3 linked regions of the Macaca mulatta genome follow. The protein of the gene in region 3 purifies or fractionates together with the protein of the main gene of each other region. This does not show direct contact. Links are inferred from orthologs where the notes say so. Each region holds a gene or a part of one and is shown on either strand. Other genes may lie near its edges.

Region 1 (3,415 bases), on a different chromosome or scaffold from region 3:
TTTACTTATGACTTTCTGCAACTTGCTACTCTCCCTCTCCATCCTGTCTTTGCAGCCTCACAGGGTGGGATACAGAAGTTTTTTTTTTGCAGTTATCCACAGTCACATTTCAGAGTCCTGACTCTCAAGGAACTACTGGTTTTTGGGATAGAACTTGGGCCAGGGCTAGGGACACAGGCTCCACAGTGACCTGTTATTTGATTGTAAATTAAGTGTTCTGATTAGTAAGAAGTAAGCAGGGGGCCACATGCTCTCAATGGAGACAATAAAGTGTTGTCTATTTCTTATTGTTCCTGTAGGTATATTTCCTATATGGGCATTTTTGGGTGGATTGGGAGGGTAGGTGGGGGTACTTCCTCCAACAGGATGCCTATCTCTCTGCCCCACCAGACCCCGTCTAACAAGAAGTGAACAGAACTGAGACCAAACAGAACATATTGAATAAACATTTAAATCCTGATACTTCAGGTGGCATGGAGGGCCACAAAATTGAAGTTATCCTGTTTCCTGGCATGGGGTCAAACTTTCAAAGACACCAGGTACAGTGGCTCATGCCTGTAATCCCAGCACTTTAGGAGGCCGAGGCAGGAGGATTGCCTGAGCTCAGGAATTCAAGACAGCCTGGGCAACAAAACGAGACTCCGTCTCTACAAAAATAAATAATTAGCCCACTGTAGTGGAGCATTTGTAGTACCATCTACTCGGGAGGTTAAGCAGGAAGGATCCCTTGAGCCCAGGAGTCCGAGGCTTGCAGTGAGCTGAGATCACACCACTGCACTCCAGCCTGGGTGACAGCAAGCAAGACCTGGTCTATTAAAAACAAGAAAGAAAAGAAAGAAAGAAAAAGAAAACTTTAAGGGGTCTAATTTCTTCCCTTTTCCATTCTCCCTTTGTCAGGTAGGAGAAGGGAGTGTGGAGTGACCGGACCTGGAAAGGGTAGCTATAGTATTGACCCCTTTCCTTTAAACATCCTACGCCAGCACAGATTTCCCAGACGCTCTCTAGGTGGCCTCAGACTCCACCCCTTTTGTCTTCCGGTTCTGCCTTCCGACTGTAGTGTTTAAATCTCGCGCGCTTTACAAGGATTGGCTACATAAGCGGGTGTTTGGCCGTCTGCGTGCTACCCCGCCTCCTCGCCTTTTCTCCCCGGGCAAAAGGTTTTCAAATTCGACCAATCAGCGCGCGCTCCCTCAGCCGAGGCGCGACACCCAAGGGTTAACCGCAACCAACCGGAGGCGGGTATTGGAGAAAAGAGCCAATCAGGAGGGCGCAGAGGTGTGTCCTGGGGGCTTATAAAGGCGGCCTCACGGCGCGCGCGCGACAGCAGTTACACTGCGGCGGGCTTCTGTTGGGGTGTCTCTGAACCGTTGTACTTCACCGGTCTACCTCGCTAGCATGTCGGGCCGCGGCAAGACTGGCGGCAAGGCCCGCGCCAAGGCCAAGTCGCGCTCGTCGCGCGCCGGCCTCCAGTTCCCAGTGGGCCGTGTACACCGGCTGCTGCGGAAGGGCCACTACGCCGAGCGCGTTGGCGCCGGCGCGCCCGTGTACCTGGCGGCAGTGCTGGAGTACCTCACCGCTGAGATCCTGGAGCTGGCGGGCAATGCGGCCCGCGACAACAAGAAGACGCGAATCATCCCCCGCCACCTGCAGCTGGCCATCCGCAACGACGAGGAGCTCAACAAGCTGCTGGGCGGCGTGACGATCGCCCAGGGAGGCGTCCTGCCCAACATCCAGGCCGTGCTGTTGCCCAAGAAGACCAGCGCCACCGTGGGGCCGAAGGCGCCCTCGGGCGGCAAGAAGGCCACCCAGGCCTCCCAGGAGTACTAAGAGGGCCCGCGCCGCGGCCGGCCGCCAGGCCTCCCCATGCCACCACAAAGGCCCTTTTAAGGGCCACCACCGCCCTCATGGAAAGAGCTGAGCCACTTCAGACTGCGGGGCAAGCGGGCCGCGGCTCCCGGCTCCTTTCCCCTCCCATCGCCCGCCTTTGCCGCCCGGCCTCGAGTCCCCGCCCGCCCCCCTCCTGGCCTGCACCGCCTGCCGCGTCGGCCTCGGGCCCTGCCCCATCCGCCGGCCGCCCTCCGGTAGGGCTCGGGCCCTCTGGACGCGGCTTGGGCACTCTTCGGGGACCACCGTGGCGCGGAGGACCCGAGCCTGCCGGGGGGAGGCCGGCGGCGCCGCACCTGCTCGCCTCGGCGCTCGTGACTCAGCCAGCTGCCCCATCCTGAGTCGCTGAGGGGCTGCGGGGAGGCCGCAGCACCTTCTGGAAGACTTGGCCTTCCGCTCTGACGCAGGGCCGAGGTGGGCAGTCCAGGCCGAGAGGCCGGCGGCCCTGAAGGTGAGTGAGGCCCTCGGCAGCTGCAGCCAGGGTGTCCGGCACTCCCCCGGCGTGGTGCTTAGCCCAGGACTTTCAGACGTGGCCGCTGGCCTGGAGGCTTTGGTGGGAGAGACACGATCGCTGGTTTCGGTCTGGCGCCCCCTCTGCGGCCGGGACCCAGGCCTTTCACATCAGATCTCCCTCCATCTTCATTCATAGGTCTGCGCTGGGGCCGGGACGAAGCACTTGGTAACAGGCACATCTTCCTCCCGAGTGACTGCCTCCTACGAGGACATTTAGGGGAGGGCAGAGGCCTGCAGTTTGGCTTCACGGCTGGCTATGTGGACAGCAAGAGTCGTTTTCGCGGAAGCCGACTGGCAGCCAAGCCTGTCGGGCCTCCCCATTTCCCTTCCAGCAAACTCAACTCGGCAATCCAAGCACCTAGATACCAGCACAAGTCGGTTAATCCCTGTCTGGACTGAGCCTCCGTTGGCTTCCGAACTGGAATTTTGCAGCTAACCCTTCCAAGACTAGAACCTTAGGCATTGGGGAGTTTTAGATGAACTAATTTTATTAAAGGATTGTTTTTCTAAAAATGGAGCATTTGTTTTCATTTTGCAAGAGAGTTGTAGGATTAGTGACTTTCTATACTTTCCTGATAGTGGGGGTGGGAGGGGCATGCAATATAAATAGGCTCTACTGTTAACCGAAGAAGGAGCAAACCATAGGAATTTAAGATTATGGCTCTGTTTCTTGGTGTTCCTGCGAGACAATTTATTCTGTGTGAAATGAAAACTATTGAGGCAGAAGCAGAAAGGATGTACCAGGAGAACTTTGGGCAAAAGTCCCAGCCTCCGAGGTAAGGATGAAAGGGCTTTGTGTTTGTTCATATCTTCCCGCCAACCCCCCCCCACACACACACACAAAAACACCTTCAGAGCTGGTTTATTAGTAGAGTTGGTTACATTCAAAGGCTGTGGCTTGGACTTCTCTAAAGAGATGAAGCCCCCACATACTGAGGAGGCAAGGCAGTCATCAAGGCCCCAAACTGAGGCAAATCCCCGGAAGGCTTGAACCCTGCAGTTCAGTCTTCTGAGGTAA
Region 2 (3,946 bases), on a different chromosome or scaffold from region 3:
GTGCATTATTTCAAATTGCTATCTAGAGTTACCGAAAAAGAAAAAACAAAAGTCGTGTGTGTAAATAAGGGGTAGGGGACCAAACCAGAGAAGGTGTAAAATGACAATCCCGGGAAGCCGGGAACAAATGCGTCCTGCGTCCAGAGATTCGTAATCCAGGCTTCTTAGAAGAGGGAGGGAGGGATGAGGAGGAAGGGGTTCAGGGTGAGGGCAGGGGGCAGAGGCCGGTGGGGGAGGGGATGAGCCGTCTTAACAAATGTCAGGGTTGGGCGCGGGACCGACCCTGCAGGAAGCGCCCCCCGAGCCCGGCACCCCGCGCTGGCTAGGGCCCCCAAAGTTGGGTGGCCGGCGATCGGCGGCCCACTCCATTGAAGGAGAGGCGCCCCGGCCTCCCTCGGCCCCCGCACCTCCTTGAGCCCGCACACCCTGGTCTCTGGCCCCCCCAGGGCCCACGACGGGCCTACACGGAAGCTGGCGAGCGCAGACCCCGCCATACATCCCAAGGCGCCAAAATTCCCTAGAAATACACAAGTCCGCTTAGAGGAGTCCATTCCGGCTGCACACAAATCAAGAATCCGGGCCGCAGGGGCCTCCCCGCCCCACTCAGCCCGGCTGCCCTGCGCGGCCCGGGAGAGCCCGCAGCCAGCGCGCCGGGCAGCCGAGCCCGCCACGGCGCCCAGGGCGCTCGCGGCCCTGCGGGTCGCCAAAGAAAAGGACGCCTCAGAGCCCCCAAGTTTGCGGTGGGACCAATCTGGGAAGTGTGACCTTCCAGGGGAAGGGGGAAGGAGGGCCGAGAGCCAGAGATTGCCACTAGAGAGGTAAATACATAGCCGCCCAAAAGAAAGCCAAGGAGCCTCTCCAGGGCCCCCGGCGCTGCGCGCTAGCCAGTTCTCAAGTCCAACGCCTGAAGGAAACCCACTCTCTACCCCGCGCGTCGGGCGCAGCACAGTCACTCGGGGACCGCAGCGGCAGCCAAGGGGTTAACCGGGGAAAGCCCAAGACGCCACAGAAGAGGGAAGGAAGAGAAGGAGAGAGAGGGAGAGAGAGCAAAGAAAGAGCCACACAGTCATCTTCCCAGGGTGAAGAAACAAACACCACCACCAAAGGGGGAGGGGGAACCAGAGCGCAAAAGAAAAGTTATTCGGATTTCCCACCCCCGCCCCACCAACAAAGCCCTGCTTGGACAGAGAGGTCTCCCCAACATCACGAGGCAGCAAACTGAAAGCAAGAACGTGGCGAAGTGCAAACAAATCCAGTCCACAAAAGGCAGAAAAGTTTGGAGAGTTTCGGGCCGCCTGGGCCACGAGCGGGGGAGGGGAGGGAGGGAGGGGAGGAGGCGGGGAGGGGGAGGCGGGGAGGGGGCAGGGCAGGGGCCGCATGCGGGGCCCGGCGGGCGGCGCGGGCGGGCGGGCAGCGGGCGGGGGCCGGGCGCGGAGGCACTTACGGTTCGGGCGGTGGGCGAGAGCGATCCGTTGGGGAGGTAGGGGCTCGTCAGGTCGGGGATCATGATGAAGGGGTAGCCGGGATACGGTGGCCCCTTAAAGAGCCCTCCATCTTGCCTCTTGGCCGCTAACATGGCGGGGCGGCGAGGGGACGGCGGCGGCCGCGCGGAGCGGGAGAGAGCGAGGAGAAACTTTTTAGAAAGTGCCCCGAGGGGCTGGGCGCCCCGGCCGGGCCGGCGCAGGGCCGGGCCGAGCCGGGCGCGGGGCCGGGGCGCGCGGGGCGGCCGGCCCGGGGGGCGGCTCCGGGCGGCTGCGGGGCGCGCGGGGCGTACTCACCTTCTTCCAAACTTTCCCGGGATTTATCTCGGAAACTTTCGGAGCGAGGCGGAGGCCGTCTTTCCGCCTTCCCGGAGGGGTGGAGGTGGGGAGGGCGAGGGGCAAACGCCACGCAGAAGGGGGAGAAGAGGGAGAAAAAGAATCGGCGAGGTCGGGGGGGGGTAGAAAAAACAGGGTTACAAGTTTTTGCAATGGTGGCATCGCACGCACACGCCGCCCGCCGGGCCCCGCCGCCGCCCCCAGCCCCGATTTCTCCCCTTTCAGCAACATTTGCCAAGCCCAGGAAACAGATAAAAAACCCCACCAGCCCGAGGGGCTTTTCTTACCTCGGAATCGGAGGAGCTGTTTTGATTCGTTTCTGATTCATTGACTAGAGACGATTTGACATCAGCTAAATCCCTCTCTGCCGAGGAGTTTTCGGAGCTCTTCTCCTCCTGTTCGCCCTCGTCTTTGAAGGAAATCAGTTCGTCGTTGGCGCCTAGGTCATCCCCTCCACCGCCGTTCAGCTGCGGCATTTTTTTTCACCCACCAGCAGCAATTTTGGAAGAAAAATGAAGGAGGAAGAAAAGCCAAAAAAAAAAAATCACCCCCAAAAAGTTTTGCCCCCCAAAAAAAATATTGCAAGAAAAAGACGAGTCCAAGGTGAACTTTTTTTCTGCTTGGGGGTCTTTTTCTCCTGGGGAGGGGAAAAGAGGGAGGAGGGGAGGGGAAGGGGGGGGAGATCTTCTGCACGCGTGAGTTTGGGTTTCTTTTTTCTCTCGTTCCCAAGGATCCGATCAATGTGCAAAAAATAATAAATAAAAAAGGGGGGTAAAAAAAAAAAAAAAACAACAACAACAAGAAGTCAGATATAAAGAGCAAAGGGGGGGGAAGCCGAAGATACAGGAGGTGCTCGTGCCGCTCGGATTTGAGTGAGTTGAAGTTAGACTGAGAGCTTTTCAGTTCAAAGGCGGCGCTGATTGACAGATAGAAAAAGGGGGATCGAAATCCGGAGGAACGGAGTAGTCTGGGAGCGGAGATTATTGACAGGGCGAGAGGAACACACTGCCTTAATGAGATGCCGGAGGGCGGGGCCGGCCCGGTGACGTGTGCATAAATAAACAGCCGGGGTGGGCGGGGCGGGGGCGGCTAACAATGATCCTTTCGGGCGCCGGGAGAGGGAGGAGGGAGAGGAGGAGGAGGAGAGGGGCGGGGAAGCCGGGGGGAGACGGAGGGAGGAGTGTGCAGGGGGAGCGGCCTGCGCGGAGTGTGTGCGAGCCCGGGATTCTGGGCGAGGGTGCAGGGACTCGCTCCGGGTGGGGGCGGTTTCAGAAAGACAATGCGGGGTGGGAGAGGAGGAGAAGGGGGTGGCGACCAAGTCAGGAATCCGAGCCGAGGAAGGCGGAAGGAAAGCCCACTTGGGGGGCGGGGATGGGGAGAGGCCCAAAAAAGTGCACTTTAGAAATATTAGAAATAAATCTTAAGGGAGGGGGAAAAGGAAGGGTAGTATTGTGAGAAAGTGGTGGCTGGGGGCGGGGGTGGGGGGGTGCTTGGTGGTTAATTCAGCAGTGAAATCAGCCACACTTGGGCGGGATGAACAGAAGTGGTCAAAAGGAAAGATCAACCCTCCACTTTCAGAGAGCTTGGGGAAGTGAAGGGGCTGGTCAAAGTTCCTGGTCATCTACAATGAAAGAAACTATTAACCCATGAGGCCTCCCTCCTCCCTTTTTTGTTTATTAGTAGTGGATCATTTCATGAAATGTTAAGTCCCACTAGGATGAATATGCCGAAATGACTTTTTATGCAAAAAACAAATATTAAATGTCAGAAACATTAAAAGTACCCTGAAGGAATAATATATGATTCTTTTAAATGTAGAGTGGTGTTTTGCTTTTTTTTTTTTTTTTTTTAAACTGACGTTGGAGGTAGTAGGAAATGAGCTAGAGTCAAAGTCCTTTTTGACTTCGGAGGTGAAAAGTTTGGGCGTTAACACCGTCAGGGAAAATAAAACCGAAAGTTCACCAGCCCCTGGGATCAGTTGGGCTACAGTGTTTCTCGAAGGGGGTCTGAAATGAAATCCCCGAAAGACTGACCAAAATAATCAAGATGTAGGTGGCTCTGGCAGGAAATTGCTAACCAAACCAATGCTAGAAGACCTCTGGGAGAAGATGGGAAACCTGGGGCTTGAG
Region 3 (3,513 bases):
GCAGTGCGAAGTGATGAGAATACAGGTTGAGCAGTTTCCCTTATCCAAGATGCTTCAGACCAGAAACTTTTCAGACCTTAAAATACTTGCTTCGTATTTACTGACTGAGCATCCCTAATCCAAAACTCTGAAATCTGAAATGCTCCAATGAGCATTTCCTTTGAGCATTACGTTGCCACTCAAAAAGTGTTGACTTTTGAGGCAATTTGTTTGGATTTCGGGACTAGGGAGACTCAACCTGTAGTAGCTTACCATCTTTAGTTGGGAACATGCAACACATGTGAATCTATAGTACAAAGCAGCGACACTGAGGGCAAATACTCGTTTCCCTTCATAAAGAACCAGAGCGATGATGATAAGATCCAGTTTTGGAGTGCTGTGATCGACTCTTCCTCACTGACTCGTCATCACAATCATAAGATACAGAAGCATTTTCCCTGTTGCACAAATTCAGATTCAACTCACTTTTGGTGCTGATGCACAGGGAAGCCTTATTGGCTGTCCCTGTCAACTTCCCCCCGAGTTTCTCAATCATAGCCTTCACTTCATCCTTGTTCCGGGAGAGCTTCCCAAGAGTCAGGATCTTCATGTTGGATAATGGCTTATCTGGGATGAAAGGAGAGAATCATTCAGCAAGGCCAACTCTGGTGCTGCTCCCCAGTAAGGGGAGGTAGAGGAGCAGGCGAGCCAAGCAGGGAGCTCCTGGGGAAAAGCCTATGAAAATACACTTGCGAGAAAACAGGACGGGACAGCAAGCTGCCACCTGAGCACCTACAGATGTTCCTCAACACAGAAAGGACTGGGCAGGAAGCAAGCCACAAAATGCCACTCCATGGCCAGGCCAGCCTTGCTGGTGTGAGCCGGGCAGCTGGGGGTTACCCCAGGTCCGCTCCATGGTCAGGCTAGGAAGGCTGCATCTGCGGATGAGGGACCAGGATGGGAAGAGGGGTAAGGTCACATGAACCCCCAATTCCTTCTGTTATTCTCCCAAACTGCAATTCTTATTAATTAACCCCATTTTAAAATGAGACATGTCCATGATAGTTCCTCAAAGGAGTGGCCAGCACAATCACACTGAGCTGAGCTAACCGATTCTAGGCGAAAAGCAGCTGCCTGGTGTGCACTGAGCCAGGCCAGAAAGGCCTGGACAGGGGTGTGCCTTCTGTTCACAGCAAACAACACAGTGCTGGCGACACGTTTCCAGAACTGGAGATGCTGCAAGGAAAAGTCCTTACTGCCTTCCCTGTGAGGGCAAACAACTAGGAAACACTGACAGTTTAAGTGAAACTGGTGAGGTCTCCAGAGAACACAATTATTGATTTATGCTGAATTGCAAGTCAGGGGAAAGCAGAGGAGGGAACCCTCCATGGAGGGGTCAGAATGCCAGCCCCCACCTGGCCCTTCATGTGGGCACCTGGACCCAGGCTGCCAGCAGCACAGTGGACTCGGGATGACCACCCACACACACTGCAGTGACCACTGGTCCCCTCTCAGGATATGAAAAGGAGGTCAATAACAGGTTTATATTCAAGGACGGAACCTTCATCCTCCACCCACCAAACTGTGACCTTTGCCATCAGACTATGCCACATGTCTCTGAGTAAATAAGCAGCGGGTCACTTCTCCTGCCAAAAAAATACATTGCTCTCACTGTCTTGGTTGGCTTGGGGCATTTCGCACTAGTGCTGATCAGTAACTCCCTCTGCATACAACAGAGACTCGAGCATCACACCAGGGTCACGATGACTGGTGGGTGCAGGGCGGCCTGGAGAGTGAGGCCTGGGATGCTGCTCTGCAGTGAGGTCAGGCAGGAGACCCTGCGTGGTACTCCAGGTAAGGCTGTCGACCTAGCCTTTCTTAGGAGCCCCTCTCCTAGCCTCCCAGAATAAGAGTCACTTGTTCTTTTACAATGTTTATTTTATTTTTAGAGAGAGGGTATCACTCTGTCGCCCAGGCTGGAGTGCAATGGTGTGATCATAGCTCAGTGCAGCCTTGACCTCCCAGGCTCAAGGGATCCTCCACCTCAGCCTCCTGAGTATCTAGGGCTAAAGGCACATGCTGCTACACCCGGATAATTTTAAACATTTTTGTAGAGATGGGGGTCTCGCCACATTGCCCAGGCTGGTCTCGAACTCCTGGCCTCAGCAATTCTTTTGCCTCAGCCTCCCAACGTGCTGGGATTACAGGTGTGAGTCACTGCTCCCAGCCGATACTATGTTCTTAATACCCTCCCACCTTGCTGTGGTTGGGGGTGTAACAAGCCAAGGGAAGAGGCCTATCCCCCGCAGGACAAGGCTTCCCCATGGTGGGGTCAGCAAAGAGAGACCCTTGATGGATACTTTCTTCACCAGCTCCACACCACCAGAAAGTAGTGGGCAAACAATTCCTGCAAAGCAATTCTAAGACTTGGGCCCTAAGAGCTGTACCTGCTGAAGCAGAGGAGTTCCCAGCAGCAGGCGCCGAGGCTGTGGAGGGTGGGGGCGTGGCCACCACTGGGGCGCTGGTTTCTGGGGGGAATATACGGTCCTGCTTTTTAACCTTCAATTTCTTGAGGTAAGAGATTTCTCGGAATTCCTAAAAAATATTAAGTTTTAGTTAAGAAGCTAGCTCTCCCTTGAAGTAACCACCTCATAGACCAAAAAGGACTTGGCTTGTCCAAATTAAAGAATCTCTTTTTTTCTTCTTATGATAAAGAGTAACAAAAAATAGAAAAATGTGAGGCTTCCAGAATGAAAGACAGTATTATTGCTGCTACAGTACTTATTTCCGGTACTTTTACATTTATGATAGGGGTGGTATTAGGGCTGCTTTAAGAGAAAAATCTTTCCCAGAAAAAACAAAAACACAAACCAGTGGCCAATTTGGTCAGGAACCACCGCTGGAACTGCTGTATGACTATAGCCTCCCTGGCCTCGTTCCTGAGTTGTTCCCTTCGAGAGTTAATAGGCCTCTGTGGGATCACACGCCTACTCCAGAACCTCAAGACCCCCAATACCATACACACTGGGAGATTATTACCCAAAAGGAAATCACAGTATTTGCTTTCCTTTTTAGAAGAAGGAAAAATGAATGCAGAGAGCCCTACGGTATTCACTATTCACTCTTCACTCTTCACAATTCACTCTTCACTCTGAGTGATTTACAAGCGGCCTTGCTCTAAATGGTCACTCAATAAGTATCAAATACATGAAGCTCAGGGAAAGAGCCTGTGCTCCCAGGTCTTCGTCCAATCAAGAAACTGCTCTTTCCATCTATGCCTGTGTTCAGGGAGTCAGCTGGATACAAGAGGTCACAGACTGCTTCCAACACACACTGACCACCTAATATGTGCTACCAACCATAGTTTGGTTAAAAACACAGTTTCTGCCCTTGAGAAAGTATCTCATTTGTGACTGAGCATCAGCTATAGGAACGTGAACTTTAACACAGGAGCTAAGCTATGCCAGAGGTGTGCTAAGGTGATGTGAGACAGGGAACGCTAGCATGCACCTGGAGGCAGTGATCTGCTAAGCC

The links. Proteins that work in one complex are often made in the same cells at the same time.
Region 1: the proteins of PARP1 (region 3) and H2AX purify together in Homo sapiens (affinity purification with mass spectrometry; 9 studies listed by BioGRID and IntAct, counting the BioPlex papers as one, with this or other methods). This does not show direct contact. The link is inferred for Macaca mulatta from reciprocal best matches to the Homo sapiens genes PARP1 and H2AX.
Region 2: the proteins of PARP1 (region 3) and TCF7L2 purify together in Homo sapiens (affinity purification with mass spectrometry; 3 studies listed by BioGRID and IntAct, with this or other methods). This does not show direct contact. The link is inferred for Macaca mulatta from reciprocal best matches to the Homo sapiens genes PARP1 and TCF7L2.

Annotation. Positions count from the first base shown.
Region 1 is NC_133419.1:119,778,696-119,782,110, reverse strand, and holds H2AX (histone H2A.x), read left to right. Parts: upstream 1-1,320; 5' UTR 1,321-1,395; coding exon 1,396-1,827; 3' UTR 1,828-2,910; downstream 2,911-3,415. UniProt on the Homo sapiens protein: Variant histone H2A which replaces conventional H2A in a subset of nucleosomes. Nucleosomes wrap and compact DNA into chromatin, limiting DNA accessibility to the cellular machineries which require DNA as a template.
Region 2 is NC_133414.1:125,090,714-125,094,659, reverse strand, and holds the start of TCF7L2 (transcription factor 7-like 2), read right to left. Parts: upstream 2,806-3,946; 5' UTR 2,294-2,805; coding exon 2,105-2,293; intron 1,846-2,104; coding exon 1,779-1,845; intron 1,570-1,778; coding exon 1,445-1,569; intron 1-1,444. UniProt on the Homo sapiens protein: Participates in the Wnt signaling pathway and modulates MYC expression by binding to its promoter in a sequence-specific manner. Acts as a repressor in the absence of CTNNB1, and as activator in its presence.
Region 3 is NC_133406.1:84,141,819-84,145,331, forward strand, and holds part of PARP1 (poly [ADP-ribose] polymerase 1), read right to left. Parts: intron 2,575-3,513; coding exon 2,427-2,574; intron 607-2,426; coding exon 466-606; intron 1-465. UniProt on the Homo sapiens protein: Poly-ADP-ribosyltransferase that mediates poly-ADP-ribosylation of proteins and plays a key role in DNA repair.